Drosophila melanogaster: one gene and its partners. The protein of the gene in region 1 interacts with the protein of each later gene in a pairwise test. Each region holds a gene or a part of one and is shown in the gene's direction. Other genes may lie near its edges.

Region 1 (5,038 bases):
TTTTTTTTCGTGTGCACTTTGTGTGTGCTGCATTTGAGTTGCGACTTTGCCGCCCTGCCACATGCATCATGAATCACGCAAATTCGCGGCACGCAAAGACAATGACGCCAGCCCCTTTTCGCACCACTCGCTGGGTGTCGAGGACGCACAACTCCGGCGTTTGTAATCAGGGTCGTCAACGCGAAACTATAGTTATAATACGTAGATAGAACAAAAGGAACGTACCCTCCACTGGCATTTCCAAGGAAACTTTGCTCGTAAAAGCCGGAATAACAGTTAGCATTCATGCCGCCCTTTAAGTTTTGTGGCATTTAGTCAGGTGCCCAAAGACGGGGGAATCGGAATTTGGATACCGGCAGTGGAGTGCCGACAGCCGTTTGACAGTAAAACTCTGGCCTTGGGCGCATCTATTAAAATTTATATGCAACCGAAACTGGAACTGGACGCCAAACGGACAAGATACACACTGTGCGAAAATGTGACAGCCTCCCATAACCCGCAATGTAACTAAATATTCACTTAACTACTATTAAGTGGGATAGAAGGCAAATGAAATGACTAATCCATATGCACAGCGGAAATTATTATATTTTAGTATTTGCAATTTAAGATGTAGTACTAAATACTGAAGCATCGTTCTTAACACTTTTCGAAACTATAATCTTTCTCATGTAGCGAAGATACCTCTTTACCTGTGATGCTGATATCAGCTTGAGTGGAAAGTGAAAACATTTTTTCTCAGTGCCTTTTAGTTGAAGCACTTTCCGCGGACGGCGGTGTTGACAAACTGCTCGCAGAGTTTTTGGCTTTCGCTTGGCTTTGGCGACTTGGCGCCTCGTCCTTGGCATGAAGTTCGCCGCTGGCCTTTAATTAGCTTTTCTCGGATTACTCATACGCCATGGGGGCTGGGCTCGGGTCGAGTGGAGTGGAGTGGAGCTGGGCTCCATTGTTTCAGCACTGGCATGCGGATGTGGTTGGTCAAACGTGCATGTCGGGCACGTGTTTTGCTTTGGCTTGAAATTGGTGGTTGGGTTCGGATCGCATCGGATGGGGTTAAAGTTAAAGCGAGCGTTCTTAATGTCAGGGTCAATGCAGAATACGGGGGTCCTGCATGTGTGGAATCGACGGCCATCTTACTCGTCCCAATATTGGCGGCATGCATATAATACCCACTGACGGTGCATAAATCAAAATATATACAAAAAAAAAAATACAAGCGGGCAAAACAATGTGTGTGTTTTGTTGCTCGAGAGATACAATACAATATTTATTCAAAAGCAATTGGCCGGGCGCTTCTGTCGCCGACAGCTGCACAAAACTCGGGGGACACTTTTGACACACACACGTGGCCAGGGCGACCTTATAGTACATAATGAGTTTGCTGGGTATGCAGAGGAGCAAAGTGGCCTTGCCACTGGCAATTAGAGTTATTTTCACTAGCAATAGGGGACATGTCGGTGCTGCAACGTGCCCGCAAAATGGACAAAAACATGTGCATGAATAATACAGGTGAATGTTATGGACATTTGCCACCATTGGGGCTCGTGAAATGGTCGACTAAATCAAATATATTATAATTTGTGGGTACCAAAGGTATAAGCTTGAGGTACTAGCCAAACAATTTCTAAAAACTAATATTTTGCATTTTTAAATCTTAACTAAAATATAGTGAAATTTGATTATCCTCTTTTCTTATAGACCTCAACTAGGCGACTGTATACTTAGTGATTAAGTAAATACTTAGGTTTTTGGGCAATTCAACTTATTATATAGTTGATGGTTATCGTTAATCGAAATTTCAATACAATGCAATTTCCCGCCAAATAAAAGTGTGACCATTAGTTTATATTAAACGAAATTCCTAACATTCTTTTGCGCGCTTTGGTATTTTGCACCAATGCATTGAGTCCATCAGCTGTTTATTTAATTTCAAAACTGAATCTATAACGAAGTAAATAATTGAAAATGAGCACTTTTAAGCCAAAGTTCCTAAAACCCGAGACGGACGATGCAATCACAGATAGTGCCGGTGGTGAACAGCAGTCCTCCGCCTTTGTATTCAATGTCAATCACAATATGGGACTCATGGAGCAGGTGGGCTTACAAAATATTTCGTAAACATTTGCTAGAATAACAAATTAAACTTAAATTATTACAGAGGGAACGTTTGCCCATTCGTCAGTACCGGGATCAAATACTTTACTGCTTGGAAAAGCATCAAGTGGTCATACTAGTGGGTGAAACAGGCAGGTTTGTATGGAATTCCATGAGCTTCAAAGTAATGCTTCTAACTCTGTGGTTTTTCATATTTCCCAGTGGCAAGAGCACCCAGGTGCCACAGTATTTGTATGAATGGGGCTGGCACACCAAGGGACTCATTGGCATCACCGAACCACGACGCGTTTCCACCGTAAGTAATCCTAAAGCAAAGCAACTATAAAATCTAAAACTAAAGACTTCATTTCCAGGTTACGCTGGCTAATCGCGTGGCACAGGAACGCGGCGAACTGGTAGGTGACACGGTGGGCTATGTAGTTCGCTTCCTGGAAAGCATGAGCTCCTGTACCAAAATCAAGTTCATGACCGAGGGCATCTTGCTGAGGGAAGTCCTAGCCGATCCGCTGCTCACCCAATATGGTGTTATCATCGTGGACGAGGCGCACGAGCGGAATATGCTCACCGACATGATTTTGGGACTGCTCAAGAAGATCCTTCGCAAACGCAGCTCGCTCAAGCTCATCATTTCATCGGCCACCATAGATGCAAGCTTCTTCAGCGAGTTCTTCAGCTGGCCAGGATCGGGCGAAGTGAGCGTTAAGCTAAGCATTGAAGGTCGCATGCATCCTGTGAGTAATTTCTATCTGAACGAACCCTGCGCCGATTATGTGAAGGAAACTGTGGAGACCGTCTGGAAACTGCATCAAAAGGAGCCGCCTGGCGACATTTTGGCCTTCCTAACTGGCCAGGAGGAAGTCCTGGAGGCGCTGGATCTTCTGCGCGAATACATCGCCAGTTCGGAACAGGAGAATCTCAAGGTGCTGCCCATGTATGGTAGTATGTCGAGCACTGATCAGTTGTCGGTATTCTTTACCCCGCCCAAAGGAACCCGCAAAGTGGTGCTGGCCACGAATATAGCAGAGACCTCCATCACCATTCCGGGCATTGTTTATGTGATAGACTGCGGCTACGTCAAGGTAAAATGGTACAATCCCAAAACCTGCAGTGACAGTTTGGTTATAGTGCCCGTCAGCAAGGCGTCGGCCATCCAGAGAGCAGGACGAGCGGGTCGTATGCGTCCCGGCAAGGTCTATCGTTTGTACACTAAATCAGACTATGAAGCACTAGCTCCTCGGCAGCCACCCGAAATGCGACGCAGCGAATTGAGCGGCGCTATCTTGCAGTTAAAGGCGCTGGGCATCGGGAACATATTGCGCTTTGATTTCCCATCGCCACCACCGGCACAGAATCTACTTTCCGCACTGGAGAGTCTATTTGCCTTGGACGCCATCGATGAGCAGGGCAATCTGACGAAGCCCGTGGGTTACCTGTTGGCCGAACTCCCCTTCAGCGCTATGCTCTCCAAAATGCTCTATGTTTCCGGTCAGATGGGCTGCTCCGAGGAGATCATAACCATCATTGCGTTGCTGCAGGTGCAGTCTATATTTTCGCGCCCAGCTTCAGCGGTTGCCCAACAAAGTGGACGCATTGCACATCGAAAATTCGAAGTTGCGGAAGGGGACTTTATTACGATGTTGAACGCTTACACTGGCTTCGTGGAGGAGGGCATGACCAAGGAGTTCTGTGGCCAATACTTCCTCATCTACAGGAATCTTAAGAGGGCCCACTCGCTGAGGGAGCAACTCATCACAGTGGCCAGAAAGAAGTACGGCATTCCAATCTTCTCGTGCAAGGGCGATGTGGAAAAGTTGTGCAAGTGCATCACCGCCGGCTTCTTCACACAGGTGGCCTATCTGCATCACTCTGGAGTTTATAGACAAATCAGCAGCGGCACTGAACTGGCCATTCATCCGAACTCCACTCTCTACACACTTCCTCAAGCTCAGTACGTGGTCTATGGGGAACTGCTCCAAACGACGAAATTGTTCATGAACTACGTGACCGTAATCAAGAGAGAGTGGCTGACGGAGCTGGCGCCGCATTATTACCAACAGACCACAGTGCGGGATTAGCAGGAACTAAAGCCTTAATGATAGGTGTAAGTCTATTAAAATAGTTCATTAAATCAAATAACTAAGTTTATTGTAAAATTATAGGTGAAACGATGCCGCCTCTTGAAAAAGAACTTAAGCTTAGGTAATGGATTCCATATGATGATTCCTATTGTGTGTTTAACCAGCGGCGACGCGCCCTCGTCCCTGAAACATCATCATAGACTCGGGTCCACGGATGACACGCGACATCAGCTCCCAGCACATTTTGGCGGGCAAAAGACTGAGAAAACCAGCATTAATTACATTGTATATAACTATGTTAAATAGACTACTTACCATTTGAGAGGAGTGAGCAGGCGAATAGAGTTGGGCAGCACGCACCACACCTCGTTGCAGCGCACGGCGTTCTCGATGCGATCCGCCACATACTGCGGCTCCAGCATGGGCATCATCCGCGGCCGAACACCCGAAAACATGCCCGTGTTGATGTAGTACGGGCAGATCAAACTCATTTGGATTTGATCATAGCCATGGGCCTTCAGATCGGTGAGCAAACTCTCGTGGAAACCGATGCAGGCGTATTTGGTGGCCGCGTAGTCACTGCATCCGTAGGTGCCCAGCATTCCAGTTACCGAGCCCACAGTAACGATATGACCACGATTATTGCGCATCATGTGAGGCAGAAACGCTTTCACGGTCCAGTAGTGCGATATGATGTTAATGTTGTACGTGTTCTGGATGACCCGATCGTGCAGCTCCCAGAAGGGTTTGCAGCACACGATACCGGCATTGTTAATCAATATGTCGACGGGACCAACCTCCTCGGTCACCTGGCTGGCACGCTGGTAGATCTGCTCCCGATCTGA
Region 2 (3,475 bases), on another chromosome or scaffold:
TTTGGGCTTAGAACAAATTGTGGGGATTCTCCAAAAGCGGGCCACACAACAACCGATCGTTGATTGAATTAAAGTAATGGGCTCTTCACTTGCTATTTGCGAAACCGAAAACAAAACGAAAACACACAAATTGCAGATACAAGTATCTCGCGCTTCGCTGATTTTCCAGTTTCTCCCGTGCAAATCACCTTCGCACCGTTACTTCTAATTGCGGCAAATGGAAAACACTCTCGTCTCACATATACGACTGCACTTGCAGATACACTTGTGTATTTTCAGATATAATTTTTGATATTTTTCCTGCCGATATTTTTATTTCCTTTTTTTTTTCTTGACGGGTAGGGGGCGGTACACTGGCACACACACGCTCATTCGCAGGAACAGCTCGAGCGCTCCAGGAACGACATATCCAGCGCGCGTCTCAGAGTGAACTGACTTACTTGAAAGACACTCAAGTCGGAAGACCCGAGCACGAAGTCACCTCATACACAAATAATGGGGGGATTCGAATACAAGTTCTCTCTCTCTCTCTCGGTGCTCACAGTATTACATCCGATGCGAAGATCGCTGAGAGTTGCATAGTATGCTCATTCCAAGGCGTTCGATCTCCAACATGGTATGTTTGTATCTTCTATGCATGCAACAAGTGGAACCAACTGCAACTCCTAGCAGTCGTGGGTGCATGATCGACAGCACCACCAGGTTGAAATGATGACCCATTCGTAGTACATCTCGACTGGATAAGAGAAAAATATTATTTTAATTAAAAATCGAACGTGAATAGAATTTATGTACTTTTTAAGTCCACTACGTTTTGTTGCTTGTTTGTGTTATATGTTGTGTGTGTGTTATAGAAAGAAGTTCTCGATAGTTAATGTATTAATCTACTTCTCTATCTTCTTTTGTTTTCAGATCCAAAAGAAATTCAAAATTTTTTCACCAACTTACGTATGCTAAGAAAACCGCCCAGAAGGAGGTGCAGAGGGTCCCACAAGAGGATGTAGAAGAGCACCACAAGTGCGATGAGGAGCCCCAGGGCCGCAATACCTATAAAAAAGGACAAGAGCATGGCCCAGCACATGTCCTGTAGAACAGCGATTGGATATCTTTACAAATTTAAGGATAAAAGTATTCACTTACCCACATCGTTCCGAGGAGAAGAAGAATTTTAGCTAGGGCTTGGACAATGCCAAAGACCATTGCCATGACCACAAGCACTGTTTCCGGATTGCCCTTGATCATCTCGAATAGACCCACAGAAAAGACCATTAAAGCTAGAAGCATCCCCGTGAAGCCGATGAAGATGCAGCCAATGTAAAGCGACAAATAGCCGCAAAACAAGCGCAGACACATTTCGATGTTTCCTCTAAGTTTTGACTAGAAATCACAAGCACATATTTCACTGGAATTTTGAATTTAAACTTTGGGTATCAGACTGGGCACTGCTTACATGTAGACATCAAAAAAGATATTGGTTGTAAGGAATTATAATGCAAATTAGACAATTGATCAGATTATTGAGCTGATTAGATTAAGTATTAGGGAATGTATATCAAAAGTAGGAAATATTTGAAACAGCTCCCAAGCTAAATAGCTTTAAAGACTTTTAAACGTATAATCTTTCACTAAATTATTTTTAAATGCATATTTTAAATAGAAGACATTTTTCAAAGTTGGCGCTTAATATCCAAACAGCTGTTTCAACGCCAGCGCTTGGCACTTATCGATAACCTATTTCAATCGATTCCAATTGGCATTCTTCTAATTGAAGAATTAAGTAAATAATGGATATATCCGCGCCACCAAACAAACGTGCTCGAAAATCACCCAATCTGGATGAAGACATAACTGGGATCCGGGCCATCCTCTCCGATGAGTTCGACGAGGATATTGCGCTCATCAAGGCGCACAGTTGCGAGTTGGAGACGAAACAGCAGCTCCAGGCGGTCATCCAGGAGCTCTCACAGAAATTGCCCCACTTTCAACACCTAAAGCGCGTCCAGGATCGCAGCGTGCTCATATGTCCCAGCTCAGAGATCGGAGTGTCTCAAAGCCTGGAACAACACCTTGAACAGTTTGCCTTTTCGGAGCACGTGCTCCGTGCTTTGTGCCAGGGAGTCCGGGTGGTGGAGGTGCCGGAACGGATGCCCCGACTGCGGGTGCAGTACGAGAAGACCCTTAAGCACTGGCCCTGCAAGTTTCACCCTAATCACTACTCGGAGTCACTGAGGAATGGCAGCAACTTTAGCTCCGCACAACGCACATTTCACAAAAGGATCGGGCAATTGCTTGTGAGGCTCTCGCGGGATGTCAATGCCAATCGTCCGGTGGGCATCTGCGTGGATCCGCGACAACCCAGCATTGTGTCCATTGCTGGAACTGGTGAAGTTTGTAGGCCGCACGAGCACTGCTGCATGATGCTCGTCGATTTTGTGGCTCGCAGTCAAGAAGGAGGCGCCACAAAAACGGAGGTTACATTCACCGAAGATTTCAAGAAGGATACCACTCTGCGGGGTATTCCTAAAGCCTACTACGATTACCTGATGAACAATGAAGACTACAAAGACCTGACATTCGGAGCGGAAAAGTCGAGAGAATGCAAAGAAGTGGACGCAGTTCAAGGAGCAGATAACCTGGCCAAATTCGGACCCTATCTGTGCACCGGCTACGATATCTATCTGCTGCAGGAACCCTGCCTTATGTGCTCCATGGCCCTGGTACATAGCAGGGCGAAAAGAGTATTTTTCGTTAAGAACTCTGAAAACGGAGCTCTAGCCACGAGATTCCAACTGCATTCGGTGCGGGAACTCAACCATCACTACGAAGTGTTCCAGTTCACAACCAAGGAGGATGAAGACTTGACGTAACGTTTAACAAACCTTGGTTTTAATAAAGGATTTATAGGATATCTTCGATTTTCGGCGTTGTTTTGGCCGTCGACTGGCGGGTGGGCGTGGACAGGAGACCCAGCAAATGGCAATCTGCCTCTAGAATGGTAATATCCTTGGACGAACCCAGAAACTTGGTGGACAACTCCAAGTCCTTGATGCGCAGTCGAACACGGGCTCCTCGCACATAGTCGCTGAAGTAGGAAAGGCGGTTTATTGGATAAAGAGACAGGAAATTATATTGAACTCACCTGGCATTGCGTGTTGGACGACTGCAGACGCAGTGAAACTTCCAACCAAAGTCTATGTAGAGATCATCGCCCACCACATGAAAGATCTTGCCACTGACCACCTTGCCCTCGGCGTTGTCCAGCTGCTCCAGAAATCAACAAGTTATTACATAAACAATGGGATTACTTAAATAATGTACCCACATCAATTAATTTGGAGTTGCGCAGCAGGGAGGCGAAGGTCTGGTTGTCTTCCGGCAGCTGTGGAGGCGTGGCTGGTGCCGTGTACTTGTCGAAGGCACGGGCGAATCCTCCCTTGCTGCTGCCAATCTCCGCCGTTTCCGTATTCACTGCGGG
Region 3 (5,010 bases), on another chromosome or scaffold:
CTTCGACTTCTTTTGCTAATGCTATTGCTAATATATCTCCATTTAATAAGTATGTATATGTATGTATGCTGGATGTAGGCAGTGAATTATTAAATAAGTAGCCGGAAACTCCATCACTCCATCTATCCATCCATCCGACTTGCCATCAGCCCTTCTTACCAGCCGAATATCAGGTCCATGGCCTTGTCCATCAGACCGGAGCTCTTTTGCGGCACATCCTTCTGCGGCGATATGATGTTATCTTTGCGGGCCAGCTTGTACGACTGCTGGGAAAACGGTCGAATCGCACTGGGGCTGGTGGGGGGATCTCCTATCTCTGCATTGGGCACAGAGCCGATGTTCTCCTTATCGATCACCGACCTATCCGTGCAGCGCGACACGCCCACCATCACATTGCCGGCGATGATTTTTTCGTTGTAGTTCAGCGCCTTGTCGCTCTCGATGCGCGAGGAGTAGCGCACATACATCCAGTTGCCGTTCTGCGGGGCATGCACCACGTCCACAATGGTGCCGCAGACGGTGAAGTGCTGCAGCACCATGGAGCCGGCCCCCGGCGGGAACCCGAAGATGGTAACCCAAAAGTCGGATAGGCGCGAGTTGCCGCCCGTCGTCACGGATGTGCCCAGGCCTCCAGCTGGCGAGGCAGTGGCTCCAAGTGGCGAGCACAGTGCTCGCATCGAGGCATTGATGGCATTGGGCGCCCCGGGTGCGAACGAGTCATTCGTGTGATAGCTGCTCTGGTAGCTCTGGTTCGGTGACTGCAACTGCAGCATGCCAAGATGGTTCTTCTTCTTCGGGGTGACGGACTGTTCGCGCAGCGAGTCGAAGAGTCCCTGGGTGGGCGGTCCCGTCTGGTGGTGGCTGTGCGTCTGGCCGTGCGCGGTCGTTGAGCTGTTGGCGCCCACAGCCGTGTGGGCGCCTCCTTGGGCGGCGAACAGAGTGCGTGTGCTCAGAGCGGAGCGGTTGAGCTCGTGCGGACTGCTGCCGCCGGGCGAGGTGGCTGCGGGGCATGTGTTCATATAGCCAATGCGTACGAGCTGCTTGATGCCGGCTACTTACCGAAACTTATATTAGAGCGCCCGGTTTTCGGGGACAGCGTGTTCTTGTGCGGCGTTATACCTTGCGGATCGCCGAGCAGAAAAGGTGGCAGATACTGGGTCTGGTTGGAGCCAGGACTGTTGACCGGGCTGCCCAGATTCATTGGCTCCATATCGAATGCGAATATTAATTATAATAATTATAACGGCGAAAAACGAAAAAGCGTTGCATTAACAAGGACGCCACAGCTGTAATCGGTTAGTGCGACCAGGCTGGGCTGGGGTCGAAATGCTAGAGGTGGATGCCAACATCGATGTCATCGATGTTTTCGAAAAATCACAAACATCGATGTTTTTCAAAGAATCATCGATGTTTTTCCATCTTTACTGCGCATCGTAGGTTAAAAGTGTTTAAATTGTGAGTATAAATTAAATTTCCAAATTTTCCAATTTCCATTTATTAATAGCATATTGCAAATTTTCAGTGACTTGCTGGTGGTCTTGGCTGGCGTCGTGGAAGACGACACGTATATTTATGCATGTATGCATGCGTGCACCTGCTCGTATGCATACTGGCTTACTTTTCTATTGAATTACTTTTCTATTGAATTGCATTAATTAGTATATTTGATTTATAGGAGCAATTATTGGACCAGGGGCGGATAAAAACGTAGACGGCAATAAGCTTGTCATGTTTAGTTATAGTACTGCCTTTTTATTTAAGCAATTATAAAAAAATAATAATCTTTAAGTTAAGCAGTTAATTTTTTTGTTTTTATTGAAAACATCGATGTCCGCCAACATCGATTTCTCCACCTCTACTAAATACGCCGTTCTTCGCAGTCGCGCCGCGCAACTTGCACTTTTGCAGCTCCCCGACTGGCAGTGGGCACATTTCGTTTCCCCCAAACGGTCACTCTAGCGGCCACCTTTCAAACAACAACATCACGCGTCGCGTCTCCGTCTTTTTCCTTTTTTTTTTTACATTAGACTACACTACGTTCTCCTGGCGTTTCGTTCGTGTCGCGCGTGATTAAATTGGCAACTGAGAACAATAAGAAGAAATCACAGTGTGCGAGCAGCAACAAACACAACGATTAGTGTAAACAAAACACATCGACAACAACAATCCAAATTACAATATAGGCAAAGAAGAAGAAACGAAAGGCAGGACCTTCGCAGCAAGAGCGAGACAGCAAAGGATCGGGATCGGGAGAGAGCGTGAGAGTGCGACTTGATCAACGGGATACAGGGTGACATGTGGAGTCCGACGCACTGTAGTGTAACGGGTAAGTGGGGGCGAAAAGCGGGGGACACCCGTTTTAGTATTTGTGTTTTTTTTTTATTTTTTTTTTACGGCGAATAAATCGCATTAAAACTTAAACTCGTTTGTGCCGCGTGTGTATGGGTGTGTGGCCTGCGCCGTTGTGTTGGTGTGTGCTTAAAATATTGTCATGACGGTCGTGTTGTTCCTATTGCTTTTGCTGCAGACGTACCAATTCGAAATTTCACTTTTTCCCCACCGCGCGCTTCCTCCTTTTGCCATTGCCTCTTGCTCTTCCTCTTGTGTTTTCCTGACTCCAGCAATTGCCTTTTTATCAGGCTTTTCTGGCTGATAAGATAATTCCCTTGCTCGAATGCGCACTTACTCATCGCATTGCTAGAAAATTGCTCATGCTAAGCGCTCCCCTTATGTATTTGCATCGCCTTCCGCCCCTTGGCATTCCTTAGCATACGCCCATGGTGGCGCTTTTTTGGTGCCTCTTGTTTACCTTTGCCATTGTTTTCGTTTTGCGTTTTCTTCAGGGCTAAGTGTCAATGAGAAATCGCGAATTCCGATTCCAAATTCGTGACAAAACACAAAGCGCGCTCATTCTGCTGTTCCCAGTCCAGTGATTATGGAAACAAATAATAACTGAAAGCCAAAGCATAGATATTTTCATATCTCCAACATGGCCAATAAGACCCTTTAAGAAATGTTTTCCGCAATGTTAGTTATTGGTTGCAATAGTGGCCACTGGGCGGCCAAATGAGTAAATGAGTCACGAATTGTGGTTCAATCTAGAGCTGCGTGGAATTTACACAAATCAAGATGATAAATACACTGGGCTCCATTGACATGAACGGATCCAGCTTGTTGTGATCTTGAACTTGCCCCGCTATCAGTTAGTACGTTCTTTGCCTCAATTCGCTCGTTTCATTTATTTTGCATATTTGCACAGCGCACAGTGTTTTATTCCAGCAATTTGCGATTAAAACCCAGAGCCGTTGACGTCACGGCGAATGAGCAAACAAATCATCGCCGTGTGGCTCTCCCAAATTCGCCGAGTTTCGCCTTGTTTGTTAAGTTCATATGTACATATATACAAATGTACACGCACATAAATACACCTGTCAATATTTGCCAATTTCTTTGCGATGAGAATGAGATGAGCGCGCACGCTTTGGAAACAGCTGTTTTCGCTGCTGTTCTCAGGAGCACTCTGTTCCCTATCCTTTGAAATGCCATAGTGTTCCCACACAGAGAGAAATTGCGACTCAAAAGGATTCGTTTTTTTTTTTGTTGTCTCTTTTCAAAACGAAATACAAAACTATTAACTTATATATAGAATAGGCAATTCTGGACTGAAATATTTAAATTAAAGGCCATGTTTTTTTTTTTTTTTAATTATTGCACAGCTGCAGGCTTTGAATTCTACTTACCAGATTTGCTAGTTAAATTAAGAATTCATCTGAGTTTACCATGTTTACATGCATGTTTGCATGCCAGAGAATTTCTTTCACTGTGCTTTTTTCGTTTCCCCTGTTAGATCATCCAGCAAACACCTGGCGTCCCGCCCTCTTATTAATGGCTTGTTGTTTGGGGACCATTTAGTCTGGGAGAGTTCCTTATCGACTGCGAACTCCACCCAATTGGCCCATTGCGTGCCTTATTTTTAGCCGTAAATTCTTGGCCGCCACTTACTCACTCACTCACTCCACTCACTTACTCGGCTACTTACTCCAACTCGCACATCTACGGACACACCTACTGAATAAATGCCTAAAATACCTGAAAATGAAAATTCCTCAGCGGGAAATTGTGCAATGAGCGGCGGGCAGCCAAGCAGACCCAAACAAAACAAACGCCTAATTTTCCTTTTCATTTCCATTTTGGTTTTTGGTTTATGTTTGGCTTGCTTTTGCAACGCATTTTATGCGGTTGCAGTGAAAATCAGAGCGGACCAGACCGCCCTTTTTTTTATCGATAATGAATGGTGGCGGCACAGTGAATACCTGCTAACGCGGAAGCCAGGTACCAGGTACTATATAACAAACCTATATTTCTTGTATTTATACTGCTAAAAATACAATGGAACCGTGTGATACATACGTAGTAATCTGTTACACTTCTGAACCTTTTAAGCAAGATATTGTGTCGTTCGACTAAAAGATAGATATTCTAATTAAATTGAAAAATGATCTTTATGGCAGCTTCTACTGTATTTCCCCTACTATCACCGAATCGATAAGGAAATCAGTGCGATAAGAGCTGGAGCTGTTGCTAGAACTGTAGCTGGAGCTGGATCACCTCTGGTCACGTCAGCGGGCAGATGGCGTCTTGAGATTGTGTCCACTTCTTCCGCACCCTGCCCGGCGATGCCATCGTCCATGTGAGACCGTTTTAATGCGGCTCCATCGATGCACTTATGCGAAACAGTTACGTTCCATTGCTCGACCCATTTAGCCAGAATAGAACCAAACAAACCGAAGCGGATCGGATGGGATCGGGATGGGTCCGGGGTTTGGTCTTATGATCATGATGGAAGGGGGAGGGGAGGGGAGGGGATAGTGAAGAAAAACAGGTCTGGCATTGGATGGGATCGCTGGCCGAAAGTCTCTTCGCATCGCGGGTCTGCAATTGATTATTTTCCAGTTCCAGTTCTTGGCCAGTGGCCACATTCCTCCGGCGCTTGCCGAACCCCAGTCCCCA

What was found.
Region 2: the proteins of CG3225 (region 1) and CG10927 interact in a two-hybrid assay, tested with the Drosophila melanogaster proteins (one large-scale study listed by BioGRID).
Region 3: the proteins of CG3225 (region 1) and Rip11 interact in a two-hybrid assay, tested with the Drosophila melanogaster proteins (one large-scale study listed by BioGRID).

Annotation. Positions count from the first base shown.
Region 1 is NT_033779.5:4,815,094-4,820,131, reverse strand, and holds CG3225 (uncharacterized protein), read left to right. Parts: upstream 1-1,886; 5' UTR 1,887-1,965; coding exon 1,966-2,094; intron 2,095-2,158; coding exon 2,159-2,250; exon of another isoform or gene 2,251-2,316; coding exon 2,317-2,410; intron 2,411-2,468; coding exon 2,469-4,190; 3' UTR 4,191-4,216; intron 4,217-4,240; exon of another isoform or gene 4,241-4,274; 3' UTR 4,275-4,349; coding exon of another isoform or gene 4,350-4,452; 3' UTR 4,453-4,508; downstream 4,509-5,038. Other genes in the region: CG15629 (uncharacterized protein), read right to left, coding at 4,350-4,452, 4,509-5,038.
Region 2 is NT_033778.4:18,611,343-18,614,817, forward strand, and holds CG10927 (uncharacterized protein), read left to right. Parts: upstream 1-1,747; 5' UTR 1,748-1,784; coding exon 1,785-2,867; 3' UTR 2,868-2,898; downstream 2,899-3,475. Other genes in the region: CG42697 (uncharacterized protein), read right to left, coding at 666-736, 949-1,084, 1,141-1,353; mRpS28 (mitochondrial ribosomal protein S28), read right to left, coding at 2,899-3,082, 3,140-3,261, 3,323-3,475.
Region 3 is NC_004354.4:18,644,506-18,649,515, reverse strand, and holds the start of Rip11 (Rab11 interacting protein), read left to right. Parts: upstream 1-1,948; 5' UTR 1,949-2,295; coding exon 2,296-2,326; intron 2,327-5,010. Other genes in the region: Nup35 (nucleoporin 35kDa), read right to left, coding at 156-1,000, 1,060-1,210.